Linked DNA regions of Alligator mississippiensis. The protein of the gene in region 2 interacts with the protein of the main gene of each other region in a biochemical or structural test. Links are inferred from orthologs where the notes say so. Each region holds a gene or a part of one and is shown on either strand. Other genes may lie near its edges.

The links. The genes of interacting proteins can lie anywhere in the genome.
Region 1: the proteins of SH2D1B (region 2) and signaling lymphocytic activation molecule interact in a test that uses a peptide from one of them, tested with the Homo sapiens proteins (2 studies listed by BioGRID). The link is inferred for Alligator mississippiensis from reciprocal best matches to the Homo sapiens genes SH2D1B and SLAMF1.

The regions. Positions count from the first base shown.
Region 1 is NC_081838.1:15,888,357-15,895,676, forward strand, and holds the start of signaling lymphocytic activation molecule, read right to left. Parts: upstream 3,017-7,320; 5' UTR 2,666-3,016; coding exon 2,602-2,665; intron 1-2,601.
Region 2 is NC_081824.1:258,330,302-258,337,344, forward strand, and holds the start of SH2D1B (SH2 domain-containing protein 1B), read left to right. Parts: upstream 1-4,043; 5' UTR 4,044-4,160; coding exon 4,161-4,306; intron 4,307-7,043. UniProt on the Homo sapiens protein: Cytoplasmic adapter regulating receptors of the signaling lymphocytic activation molecule (SLAM) family such as CD84, SLAMF1, LY9 and CD244. In SLAM signaling seems to cooperate with SH2D1A/SAP.

The sequences.
Region 1 (7,320 bases), on a different chromosome or scaffold from region 2:
GCTGCCTATAAGTTCATCACAGGGGCACAGAAGGGTATTGGTGAGTATTTATTCACCAAGGCGCCCCCGGGGGTTACAAGAAACAATGGCCACAAGCTAGCAGAGAGCAGATTTAGACTGGACATTAGGAAGAACTTCTTCACAGTTCGAGTGGCCAAGGTCTGGAACGGGCTCCCAAGGGAGGTGGTGCTCTCCCCTACCCTGGGGGTCTTCAAGAGGAGGTTAGATGAGTATCTAGCTGGGGTCATCTAGACCCAGCACTCTTTCCTGCCTATGCAGGGGGTCGGACTTGATGATCTATTGAGGTCCCTTCCGACCCTAACATCTATGAATCTATGAATCTATGAATGAATCTATGACTGATGGTCTCCCTAGATGACTCTCCTATCCCTCCTGACTGGGACGCAGTGATTCATATTCGCCTCTGGGTACCAATTTACAAAAGAACTGTTTTGCTGGAAAAACAAATGATGAACCCTGACAGCTCATCGGCTGTCGCCGTTACCCGTGGAAGATTAAACGGCCCGGGTTGCCACGCTGCTTCCTGTGAAATCGTTCCATCACAAGCGGGGGTTGCCCCAACAAAGAGGAAAAAAAACAACCACAAAGGATTTGAACCCCAGAGAGCACCAGCTCCCCGCGCAGCCTCACTGGGAACGTTCCCGTAAATACAGCACTTCATCGCAGACCCACCCGCCCTGCGTGCAGCAGCTCAGTCTGCTGACATCTCCCACCGGGTACCAGAGAGACTGTTATAAGCCTGTTCTGAGTCTACAAGAAGGTTCCTGGTCTATTCTGGGCCCCAAGAAGCCATTATGCAAATAACAACCTGCTCATCTGAGTTAAATTTTTACTGTATTGGCAGGTGGGGCTGGAGGGAAGGTTCTTGTGGAGCTTTCTGGATGAAACCCCACTTACGTGGCTACCTCTGACTGGAGGGGGCTGGTGTTTATGGCTCAGAGGGTCTATTTCAGGCCTATGTTGAAACCCACTGAATGTACATTATTGCCATAAGGGGCAGCCTGTTCTTCTCCTTCGGGGTATTCGGTTGAGGCATTGCTGCTGACAAGTTCTGGTTAGGATGATAAGGATTCCAGAGGGAAAATCCCCATTAAATCATCTTGAAAATCCCTCGGCCCTAACAGGAAAGAGCTCCTGGAATGAGAGGACATCTCGGAGCAGAGGGAAGCAGACCCACTGAAGTTAGATGGCAGGCACGAAGGGTGGAAAGGGGCTGAACCCCCAGCCAGGGGCAGGGAAACCATGGGATTCCCCCGTGGAAAAGCTGACAGTGGATCCAGGGCATGGTTCTGACTTGAAAGCAATAGCAATTGCTTTGGGCCAGTGATTGCACAAATGGGACTTTTCATTATGCCACTGGAGAAAAGAAAAAACCCATGGGGATTTTAAAAGGCAGGCTGTCAGACATTGCAGAGCCAGCAAAACCAACAAGAAATTCCCGGGTGGCTGCTCCCCAGCCTTCTCTGTTGGTCCTTCCAAGCAATCTCTCTTTGCCTGGCGCCCGTGGCCCATGGACCAATTGGTATTTGGGGCATTGCTTTGGGAGCTGGCAGAGCACAGTTTCTTTTACTTTGTTTGAGAGACCCCTTTTCTGCCTTCCTCATGTGTATTAAGCCCTCTGTCATATCAAAGATGTTCCCATTCTCATTTTGGACCATTGTGGCTTCTTCCTTCAACCTCAGAAATGTCAGGAGAGGACGCCCCCACTATATACCTTCCCTGAGCAACCAACAGATCCCAGGCTTCCACATCCTCTCTCCTCTCAGCCACATCCCTATTCATCCACAGCCCTGCACATTATGCACTCTCTTCTACACAGGAATGAGACAGGCTTGCCATCAGCTAGCTCACCCGCTTGTCAAAGCAGGGTTTCTTTCAGTCCACTTCCTAGTGCTCCAAGCAGCCCAGCTGTATGGTATCTGAGCCACCCCACGAAACCAATCAACAGGCTGACAGATCTTACTTTTCAAGTTTTACAGGCCCAGCCTGTCCCGGTTTGACCCCATTTCTCTTACCAGCGGCTGTGGCTACTGGTGTTGCTTTCCTGTCCTAGTTCTAGTGGTCAATACTATTGTTATCATTATTCTTAATTAATTGGGTAGTGCCTAGAAACTCATTTATAAACCAGCCCCTCCTCTCCTCCCATTTAAGAAACCGCAAGTACTGCTGCACTAAGTAATTGAGTCTGGCAATAGTACGTGCAGTCCTATTGAAGTCAACAGGACCGGCACTGTCTTATTATTGAGGGTGTGCCTCATTATTGTCTCATTGCTGAGGATTATTGAAGTAGCTGATGCTGAATTATTTGCAACAAATCACGTGTGTTGCAAAACATTTCATTATTGCAAACAGAGCTGTCTTCCTATCCACCTGTCCACCCGTCCCTTGGGTCTAGAGAGTCCTGTGAAAGGCACACAGAATAGACAAAGTCACCTCTCTTCTCTGGCACCATGTCATCTAGCTGCCTTGCCCAGCATCATGGTTTATGAAAGCAAACATCAAACGCAGAGCTAAAAGTCACTCGGCAACACTCCAGCTGCTTGACACAAGAGTAGTGGAAGGAGAGAAAAATCAACGTACCCCAAGCCCAGCAGAAAGAGATGATCAGCCAGAGGCATACACTGCAGTCCATCGCTCGATGCATGAAACTTGACTTGTGTGGACTTTAGTCCCAGCTCTGCTGTCTGCAGCTAGGCATACTGGTGAGAACAGGTGTAGTCAAATGAGACTGACGTCTCTTGGCGGGCTGCGTGTTTCCTGTTTTCTGGTTTGGTGATTTTTTTTCTTTTTGTTGTATGGAAATATTCAAAAAACCAAAATCATGCCTCTTAATGCTTCAGTGCAAGGTGCTTAGGGAAGGGGCTCACAGCAAACCTCGGCAATCCTACCAAGAGCTGTGCGAATAAAAACCCCATCCACTCAGTTTTATAAAGTCAAGGCCCAACCCCAACTTCCTCCATGTACGGGAACGGTGTGCCTGAAAAAAAAAGATGATGCTCGTTAACTGACATGGTCCTACCATAGAGCACCGTGGTCTCTCTGATAATAAGCAGCATTTCCGTCACTCGCACAGTAACAGTAATCCAGTCTAATGCTCACCCTCACAAATGCGTGACAGAGGGAAAGTAGAAAGCACGTGAACACCATTTGACAACAGAGTGGTCTACAGAGTTACAAACCATTTCCTAACCCACAAAAAAGTTTTATAAGGTCACCTGCTAAACCATGAACTATTTATGTATTTGAAATAATGTGGGTTTGCAAAGGTTGCCCACATCACTTTCTCAAGCTGTTGCAGGTGAGTGGAAGAGTTAGCCCCACTTCTTTTTAAATAACTCCAGAGATGCGGTCTCTCAATTTCAAAAGCTTTAAAGAAAGCACCCACTGCTGCTAGGCTTGGCTTAGGCACAGCATCCTCTCTTCTTTTTTGCAGAACCCAGAGCTAAGTGCTTCACAAGTCTGGATTGGTACCCAAAGGTGTTTTCTGGCTCCATTCTAGCTGGGAGCAGCATCCTTGTTTCCCCTTGCTGTACAGCCAGCGTTGCTCCATCAGCTGTGTCTGAGCATAGATGGGCCCAACCCTTCAAAAAGCAGCAGGTTTTATTAACATGCAATATCCTCATCAGTTTTATGTACCTTAGTCTCATGTACCCTAGTATGGGAGTATTGCACAGTCTGGAGGGCTGGGTGAGGGAAGGCAAGGGTGCGATCTCCATTTTACAGGTAGAGAGGCGAAGATCCCCATTGATTCAGGGTTGTAGGGTGCCTGGTGAGGGATGGAGGCAGAACTTAGCTGCCCAAGTCCTGGACTAGATGCTGCCTGACCCCGGAGGTCCCAAACCTTCAGAAAAGCACTCTGTTCTGAGCCTCGTTCTGCTTTCACCAGTGCACAGATACATCCTTGCCTTTACAGGCACCTGGCTTGCACCTCATTTCTGCTTGGGTCCAAAAATGAGGCCTTCCTCCGCCCACATGCCCTGGGGGGTGCTCAGTTCACCTGGCACCACCCTAGCAGGAGCAGCCTTCTCTCCATGGCTTGTAAGGTGCATCTAAAAGAGGAGCCCTGCTGTTCTCCCCATCCCTTTCCTATCATGTGTGCAGAGCAGGGCAGGTCCCAGACCTGCTCACATCTCCTATTTCACAGGGGCACAGAGTTGCAAGGTCATAGGGGGTCACCCAAGCTAGCCCCTGTCCCAGCCCTGCCCAGGAGGCTGGGTGGGACATTCTCCATCCCTCACCTGCTGCAGCCAAGACTTTCAGCCCCAGCCACCCCTCATCTCCACGGCAGGGACTCACCTGGGCTCCAGCTCCTGCTTTGCGGATGGTTTGGACACTTGACCTTCTCAGGGCATTGGCAAAAATGCCGACGCACTCCTAGAAGCCTAGAAGGAAGCAAGGACTTCCCCCACCAGGGAGGTCCCTGCCTGCTGCCACGTTTCTTCTGGTTCCTTCTTTTTTGACCTACAGAAGCTTGAGATCTTTTTCTGGCCCGTGGCACTGCTGCAATTGCAGGAGCATGGGGTACCCCCCTACCCTCGAGCTGGGGGCAGTCTCCGTGGACATGGGGTTTGCTTCCATGCAAACAGAGGAAGGCCAGGCTCTCCTTGTAGCCCAGCTGAGCTGTGCCAACCTTGAGGAGGGCTGGGCATGAAGGCACCTCTCTGCAGCAAGTGCAGGGTTTTGGATAGAGCCCAGGGGCACATCTACACATGCACTTTGGTGCTCCTTTAAAGCACATTAAAGCATCATGTAAAAAGCGGTGCTTTTTACTTAATTTGTATTAACATAGACTCATGTGCATTAAGCATCACTTAAAAAGCATTTGCTTTAGTTAATGTGCATTAAGCCAAGCTAATGTGCATTTTCCTGGTACCTCATAATGGAGGTACTAGATTTCATGTGCATTAACTAAAGCGCATCAATGTATGTGTAGATGTGCCCCAGGTGCTTACCGTGAGGTCAGGCAACCGTCTCCTGAGCACCACGGAGCTGTTTGCTAAGCAATCATGGGCTGGTACGGCGGGCTGTTGAAGCCAGGCTCCACACTTCCCCAGCTCGCATCATATCGATTCTCCTCTCTGCACTCTCTAACCTGGAGCAAGAGCAAGCCCTGTGGGGTTAAGAGAGGAGGGGTGGAGGGGGACAGGCACTATCACTATCATAGGAAACAAAATTGAACAGTTGATAAATATAAAATCCATGGTAGGAGGAACATTTTGACCTGTTTTTGCTTGTGGTGACAATCACTATCAGTGGGAGAGTGCAAGGCAATCTTAGTGATGTGTCGCAGGACCCCCAAGGTGCTTGGGGCTGCACAAACACCGGACCTCTTTGGTCCCCAAAAGCTTTCTGTCGAATGTACCGAATTAGCTACCACCCCGCAGGAAAAGGGCCGAGGCGTCGCTGCGGGCTGTTCCAGGCACACTCGTGCTCCGTGGAAAACCGCAATCAAAGCTGACTGTGCAAACAATAGTGTGTTATTGGAAATAAAAATGACAGTTGGCTAACGTTTCTTTCTATTTTTTTTCATGGAAAATATCAAATGGAAGAAAATTGTTTTGTCTTGTCTGAAAACATCTGTTTTGGATTCAAACGATTCATTGAAAATCTATTTTTGCAGGGGTTTCTTCCTATCCCCCCCTTTCTTTTTAAATCTTGTACCTTTTTTAGTAACAAAAATAAAAAAAAAAAAATCAAATTTAAAATGTGAAAATGGAGAAAAATGCTAACCAGCTTTTAGGGTTTTTTTTTTTACTTAAATGTGCAAGAAAAGTATCACGGGGAAGGAAATGGTCATTTGCTTGGTTTTTAACACCTTAAAAAGACATGCTTTCCAATGGGAAGAAAAGGTTTTACAAAGCAAAAAAGTGTTTTTCTCTCTCTGCTTTAGGTTTTGTTACCTTTTCCGCACTTATTCCAGTGGAAAAAAAAACAGGAAAAAATGACACGTGGAAATTTCCCCACCATGTCAAAAGAAAACAGCACTGAAATATCCATCCAGGTAAAATATGAAAGTATTTTTTCGAAATCTGCCATGTTGCCTGTTTAAAAATATTTTTTTCAACAATTAAAACTAAAAATGTGCTGGTGTTTTAGTGGCAAAATACAATTTATATCTGACAGTGGGGAGGTCACATTGACCAGTTTCCCCCCCCCCCCCCAAAGGACGGGGACACATTGGAGAAAGCCAAGTGGAGGGAGACAAAAATCGTTCAGGGGCTGGGGGACAGGACTTGTGAGGAGAGGCTGAGGGAACTGGGCTGATTAGTCTGGAGAAGAGAAGACCGAGGGGATTTAATAGCAACCGTCAGCTCCCTGCAGGGTGGGTCCAAAGAGGATGGAGCTGGACTGTTCTCTGTGGTGGCAGATGGCAGAACAAGGAGCAATGGGCTCAAGCTGCAGCAAGGGAAGTTGAGGTTAGATGTTAGTAAAAACTTTTCTCACTAAGAGGATAATGAAGCACTGGAACAGGTCACCCAGAGAGGTGGTGCAATCTCCATCCTTGGAGGTTTTTAAGACCTGGATAGATAAAGCCTTGGCTGGGATGACGTAGTTGGGGCTGGTCCTGCTTGGAGCAGGGGGTTGGATTAGATGTGACCTCCCGAGGTCCCTTCCCACCCTCATTTGCTAGGATTCTGTGATTCTATAACACCACCCCTGTTTCTCAAAGCAAAAATACTTTGTCTGAAACATTTTTACCAGCCATACTAAACTCATTCTAATACCAATATACAAATCAGTTCCCCCTGGCCTTCTACGTTAAGATCTAGTCATTAGTGCAGGAAGCGCTTAGGGGGAAAAAAAATAAAGGAAGTTAAAAAATACTTAGAAAGACTTCCATTGAGAGGCCGGGTGAGAAGTTGAATGGAACAAGGGCGATTCGTACATCACGAGGACTGTGTTCCCAAGAGGCGTATTAGTGTAAACAGGTAATGAGTAAGAGAAGTCAGCAGAGGTGTAGGAAAGAGTGAACAGTGCAGAGCTAGCTGGTTAGGTATGGTCATCCTTTCACAACACCGTGATGAGATGTGCCATTAAACCCTACTCTGGACCGTTGGGAGGAAGTGTGCTGGACATGTCTGAGTAACCCACTGAGCTCCGGGCTGCGAGACCCAAAGCAAAACAGGATCAGGAATAGGAATTGGGCTTTATACAGATGAAGTGCATATAGGGCATTGCACTGCACTGGGTATTTATATAGTAAAGCTATTTTTGAAGGTCTATGAGGGTCCTCCTACCTCAGAGCATGAATCTACCTCTAAGAGCAGGTGTTAGAAAGGTTTTTCTCCGCTGTCACAC
Region 2 (7,043 bases):
ACCTGATCTTTATGGACAAGACTTCATGGCTTGATCAACCAGTGAAGTTGCATTCATGATATTACAGGGTGGTGACCATTTGCTTTGACTAGCTACACTTCTAAATTTTAACTGCAAATACTGCTTCAATGCTTTGATGCTAATTAGAGTTGTATCTGTTAGGGTTCGATAAATTGCTTTTAGTTTAGGACAGCCGTGTCTTAGTTTTCTTGCCTGGTATAAAACCCATTATAGTGTCACTGAAAGCAACATACCTGCAGTGATTTATTCTGCCTAAAGAGCTTTTATGCAGTTCAGTGAAGCAAAATAGGGTACATTCTCTATTTTAGAAGAGTAATCTCTTGAACAGTCAAACTTCAGCCAGGGGATGAATAATGAATTTGAGATTGCGAATGAGAAACTAGGAATATGATTAGGAATTAGGAATGAGTAAGAAGACTTAGTCTGGTGGGAGACTCTGCACATCACTCCTGTTGGGAAGCCCAGTTTGTTGTTATTCCAGCAAGGCTGCATCCATGATGGCCAACACAGAGCTCTTGTTTTGCTAAGAAGCTGTTGCTTTATTGTTCCTTTCCTCATGTCCATTAAAATGAATACATCAGAGGGAGTAACTTGTTATCATAAACCAGAACCTGATGTAACACTAGCCCTCACAACCTGTCAACTGTGCAACTGTGTAAGTGAAAGGAGAGCTGCATTGTTCTCTTTCCTACATGTGGGTTGTTTAAACGCAGAGGAAACAATCTGCTCAAAGGAGGCAGCAGTGTGAGGCATCTATTTCATTTCAGAGCTGGCATATCAGCTGAACTCATATTGCATTTATTCACTTATGGAAACTTCAGTTGATTTTTTGATCAGGAAAAAATGGGCTCTTTCCGTGTGTAGGGAAATGTTATGCATAATTTATTCATAAACAAAAAGAATACTACCTCGTGGTCTGCAGAACATGGGTCAGGATGTAGCTTGATTTTCCTGCCCCCTCCCCCCACTTTTTTCCTTCTCCATTTTTGGGGGTTTGGCTTTGTAGGTGCTAAAAACCAAGTCTCAGTTTCCCCTTGAGTACTTTATAAAGGTTACTTCTCAGGGCTGCTTTTATGCTTGTTTCCTAATGGTCTTAAAAGTCAAACAGACATGCATGCCCACTTTCTATCTTGATCTAATCTTGGTCTTCTACTTTATTAAGATGCCATGTGGACAACTTGGTAGCACGGCATATGTTTTATTTCTAAAGAGCAACATTAATAAACTTTCTCTTTCTACACAACAGAACCAAAATTAAGTCAAATCATCAGGATAGGAAATGCCTAAATAAAAGTTGTTTGTGCAACTTTAAATCACCCCCTTTGCACAGCCTTTAATTATGTGATCATTTTTATTTCCACAGGACCTCTATCATTCAGTGTTCAAGGAGGTGTTCTCTTTGAATGAGCAGCCGCTCAATATTTCTTTCACTTCACTATGCTGTCCTCTTCTGAATATTAAATTATTAATTCCTTCCTGTGTTTTTCTGGGGTGTTTGTGCATGACTAGATGTTGTAGGAAAAATTGTATGTAAGTGTGTAATTAAGGTCTATATCAACATACATATGCACAAAGGGAGTCAATTAATAGCAGTATTTTAGTACAGAGTGTGTATGTGTACGTGTGTGTGTGTGTGTGTGTGTGTGTGTGTGTGTAATTTAATGCAATTTACTAGGTATTTTATAAGTGGGGAAAAAACCAAATTCGATCATTTGGCATCCCTTTGATGCCAAGTTAGCATCTCTAAAGTGTAGCCCAGACCTCTTCCACTGGTGTTAATGGAGAAACTGAAAGCAATAGTGAGCAGTCATCTTTTTCAAGCGGAGTAGCATTAGGTGGGGATCAGACAAAGACATCAGCAGTAGACATGGCAGATACTTTTTTTGACAGCAGATGAAAGGTGAGACCCTGGAATCCTGGGTTCCACTCCAGGCCCCAAAACAGAGTATACAGGTTCTGTTCCCCCTCCTTCCCCTGCTGCCTCTGTAGTCCAGCATCTTTGCCCTTTCTTCCTAATGGATGACTACCTATAGGGCTGTGCAAAACAGCACCACTTCATTTCAATTTCCATTTCACCATTTTGATGGGACAGTGTTTCATTTTGAGTTTCATTTCATTTTGAAAGCACTGTTCTGCTTCATTTCTTCGAAACTGTTTCAACGTTTTCAACATTTTGCCCATAGGCTATAATTGGGAAGCATGAAACTGCCTATAACTTTGTCATTTCTTGCCTGATTCAGATGCAAATTGTGGGATGGTAGCCCCTGCTGAGGCCACAAAGCCTGTCAAGTTTCAAGGAAATAGGTGCAGGGGTTTCTGGGAAACTGCACCTCAAAGTCTTGAAAGCAAAACTCATGTCACGTGTGTGTCTTAAGGTACAGGGGGGTGAAAACTGCAGGGATGGTAGCCCCTGCTGAGGCCATAAAGCCTGCCAGCTTTCAAGGAGATAGGTATAGGGCTTTCTGGGAAACTGCACCTCAGGCTGTGGACAAGCAAAACACATGACATAGGTGACACTGTGTGTGTCTGTCTGTCTGTCTGTCTGTCTGTCTGTCTGTCTGTCTGTCTGTCTGTTAAGGTGCAACTGGGTGAAAACTGCAAGCATGCTATCTGCTGCTGAGGCCATGAATCCTGCCAAGTTTCAAGGAGATAAGTGCAGGGGTTTCTGGGAAACTGCACCTCAAACTGTTCAGAGCAAAACTTGTGTCACTTGTAAGTGTGAAGGCACAGAGGCAGCTCAGTTCAAAGAATGCTTTTTATGCTCTTTTTCCATCCCTTCCCCAGAGCACTGGGATGGGAAGGGACCTCAGGGAAGGATGACAGTCACTGGCCAGCTACACAGTCAATATGAGAGCAGTCCTTGCCCCCTCTTCCCACTCCCTCTCCTTAATTTCTCTTTAGCTGCAAGCAAGCCCAGCTTTGAAATTCACAATGTTTCAAAACTTTTGAAACATTTTGACTGCCCTCATTTCCTTTCGAGGCTGTTTTGAAGCCTTTCATTTCAATTTCTCTGTTTCGAGCTCGAAACAAGTCGAACCAGCGTCAAAACCAAACAGCCGGAGAAATTTTGCACAGCCCTACTATCTATCTGACTCAGTCTCACAACCCTTCCCCACCTCAACAGACACCTTAGCTTAGCTTCTTGCCTCAACCTATCCTTCCCAGGAGGAATCTCTCAAATTGGTTCCTCTCTGCATTCAGGGTAAATTACTTCCTCCCCATGATGCCTGAGGAAATTATTGTGATCCCAGGAGACACAGTTTCATAAAGCTCTGCTGCTTGAGGCCCCATTGACAAGCAAAAGCAATTCCAGAAGCTTTGGTCTGCCCCAGCAGACCTGACCTGGACAATTCTCATTAAAGGCAAGACATATGTGCAAACTGCAACATTTTAAATGGTTCTAACTTGAGTGGATTTTCATGACAGCATAAAGTACAGCATTGACACCAGGATAACCTTTCACCCCCATCAAATGTCAATCTGGTACCATACTCCAAAGTACAGGGGCAATAGAGCTTCTTAAGAAAACGTTTTGTAATTTTTTTAACATGATTAAAATGCCTTAGTTTCAACTTAGTTACAGGGGTGTAATCTTATTTTCCAGAAACAGCTGCATTTTTCCCATGTGGAGGAGTGGGAAGGCATCTTGAGGCACATAGCTCATATGGAATATTTCAGTCCAGATAGTTAAATTTGGGCAAGGTTATAAATAATGAGAAATACAAGCTTTAAATAAAAACTGTTGGGTATATAGGCACTGATGCGCTTGTTGCTTTTACTTAAATTTTAGCTGTCATATGGCCTAAAACTAAAAGTAACTGAAATATCAACTCTTTTTAATGGTATAATTGCAGTTCTCCTTGGTGATGGAAACTAAGGACCACTACAAGTGAAACCATTGACCATTTTTATCACTTCCTGTGTAGATTATACATATCTGATCTGTTGAAAGCAGCCTGCTAGTAGAGTCTGGTTAGTAATACCCACACAGATAAATTCATTTATGTAGTGAAGACTTGAAATTGTAATTGCAGTTATCATCTTGACAACTGAATTTGGATTAAATCTTCTTTTAATGCCAGCTTGCTGATTTCATCTAGGATTGCTTTAAAGACAAGGGACCCTGTTGATACTCTTCCATGGAGTACCATGCAAAGTACCCATTTTATCATGGGAAGATAACAAAAGAGTCCTGTGAAGAGTTACTGACCAAGAAAGGAAAGAATGGTTGTTTTTTGGTACGAGAAAGTGAGAGCGTGGCAGGAGCCATATGTCTATGTGTCTTGTAAGTATTGTGCTTACATATTTAACTATTATGTGAATTTTAAGGTAGTTGCAAGAGTGAATATATCACAAGGGTGAATATAATACTGAAGTAGAAAAATATTAATATGCTGTATATCTCTGGTTACGGATTCTCTAGACTCTTTCTCTGGACCTCAAAGTACCATATAAAGATTTAATTAAAAGCTCTGCCTCACTGTTTGAGACAACTTAGAAACAGAGGTAAAGTGGTCCGTCCAAGATCACAGATCAAGTCAGTGGTTAGCTGGGCATAGAAAATGACAATATCTAGCCATTGGCTTTAACTGTTCTGTTGCTCTGTCTTACCTATGTATTTTACAGGAGGGCAGCAAAAAACTTAGAAACTTGAAAAATGGAGGCGGTGAATCAAAAGCAAGCAAGCCTCTGAGTGTCATACGCAGCACCGGGCTTGATTTTTTCAAAGGAAATGATTTTTGGCTTCTCTTTCAGAATTGAAAAGAAGAAGTAGAAGCATAACACTGGGTGGGTGAGTGGGCCATGAACCCTAAACACTGCTTAAGGACATGGGGGCGGTGGGGGGACTGGAATTGAGAATAGGGGCCAGCGGCCAGAGGAGCTGGGGGGAGAGTAACTTCTTTTTTAGTTGCCAAAAATCCATATTTAAATGGCTGCTCAACAAGTATTGGAAACCAAAAAAGGCGACATCTACCTCCCTAGCAGCAAACCTACATTTCTTATGCACCATGTATCCTTACCACCCTGGCAATTCTGGCCTGTTAGACCTCAGTAAAGAGGACTTAAACATTCAGTTCTTGTCCTTTTTACATATTTAGCTTTCCAATGAAATCAGTAGGTCTGCTCCTTGCATGTTCTTGTGCATGTTCCTGAGTCACAGATAAGTAAGCCTGTTCTCAGTCTTCCTTGTACTGAGCTTGTGCGGCTTTCTATTCCTGTTGATGACCTTCCTTTCTGGATAATAAGTTTTGAATACCACACTGAACTAATTCCAAAATTCAAGGAACTGTTCTAGGCATCAGTAAGCAGAGTCCTATTGACACTGGTGAAAGTTAGGAGAAAAAAATAATGGCAGAAATGGAGGAGACATGGACTGCCTGACATACAGCTATGTGAGGAATGGGATAGATGGAAAATGAAGATAAGGGGAACTGAGGCATAGAGCCCTTGGCATGGAGAAGAGAATATGGTCATTGGGAGCAAGGGAAAAAATAGAGTCTATCTCTGGCATGGGAGTCAACTGGGGATCCTAGCACTGGGGAGAGGGGGGAATGAAGTGTATAATGACCCATAGCTGCCAGGGGGAAAGAGTCAGGAGGAGTGAATGTTTTAAATAGGGGTTTGAGAGAGAGGCACACAAGGAGATTTTGGGGAGAATGGAGGAATACAAGTTACTCTTAGGTGGATGCAAAAGTGTGTAATAATGTAAGCTAACTCCAGTTAGCATTTTTAGTGCTTTAAGCTGCTTGTACACACCAGGGAGGTTTAATTTTCCCTAAATTGAAACAGTGGGTTTTTTTAAACACCGCTTCAATTTAAGGAGAATTAAACTGAATTAAACCCCCATGGCATGTACACAAGGGTGAGGGCTCAATCTTTACCTATCTCTTCAATGGTGGGGGCAGCGGGTGAACTGCCGGCAGGCTGAGCAGTCCCTGAGCTGCGCGGGGGTCCCCCAGGTGGCACCTGCCTGCTGGCACCCAGTTCAGGCAGTCCAGGGGAGCACCACAGCCATGGAGAGAAGCATTGCTCCCCCACCCTTCCCGCTCCCCTTCAACTGCGGAGGGAAAAACGAGGTCCCCGCAAAGCTCAGGCAGGCAGGCAGGCTCCAGGGAGGAAAAAAAAAAAAAGATCAGGCTCACTGCTTTTTTTTTTTCCCCTTCAATGGATCCTGCCTGCATGGGCTGCCTTTGGGTCCCACAGCCCCTGAGCTCTGCAGGGCCCACCAGTCCCCAAGTACGTCAGCTTCCAGTGTCCCATGCACTGTTGCACTTCGTCAGGTAGCAAACTAAAACACCTTGGAGGTGCTTTATCTTGCTACGTAGCAAAGTCATTTAAAGTGGAATATGCCGCCGAGTGTGCAAACAGCAATGCCATTAAAGTGGTGCACAAGGGAATTTAAGCCACTTTAAAGACCAATTTTGTGGTGTGTACGATGGCCCATAGGGAGACAGTGGATGTGATGCCGCTTCATGTGTCAACAGAATTCGTAACTAAATTGCAGGAAAAATTCTAGCTGAAGCTACCTATGGTACTTCATAGTACATAGATCAGTCATGATGTGAAGAGACAGTGGGATTACAGGGATGTAAACAGAGTACACTTTCGCCTGTTAGGCAGTGTATCATTTATAATGGTGCCTTAGCCCAAGAAATCTAACCCTAACTCTCTCCTGGTTGAATGTGCAGAGCTAGTCTAGCAGTTAGAAAAGTTCTATTGGTAATTGCAAAATTAGGACAATTTTATTATGTTGCTGATCTATTAGAGAACATACTCGTTTAAAGTCGTGCAATGTTCTGTTATAACGTTGTTGGGCCCCCGCCTGCTAGTAAGTAACTACTGTGATGAAATTGGATTTGCTTAACGTTATCTCGCTTAAAGTCACATTTTTCAAGAACATAACTACAACGTTAAGTGAGGAGTAGCTGTTGACATGTCCATGTTTATCATACTAGGACCATGATTCCATAGTTAAGGCTGAGTCAGAAGTTTGCAGTTTAACAGGAGGTTTAATTATTTTG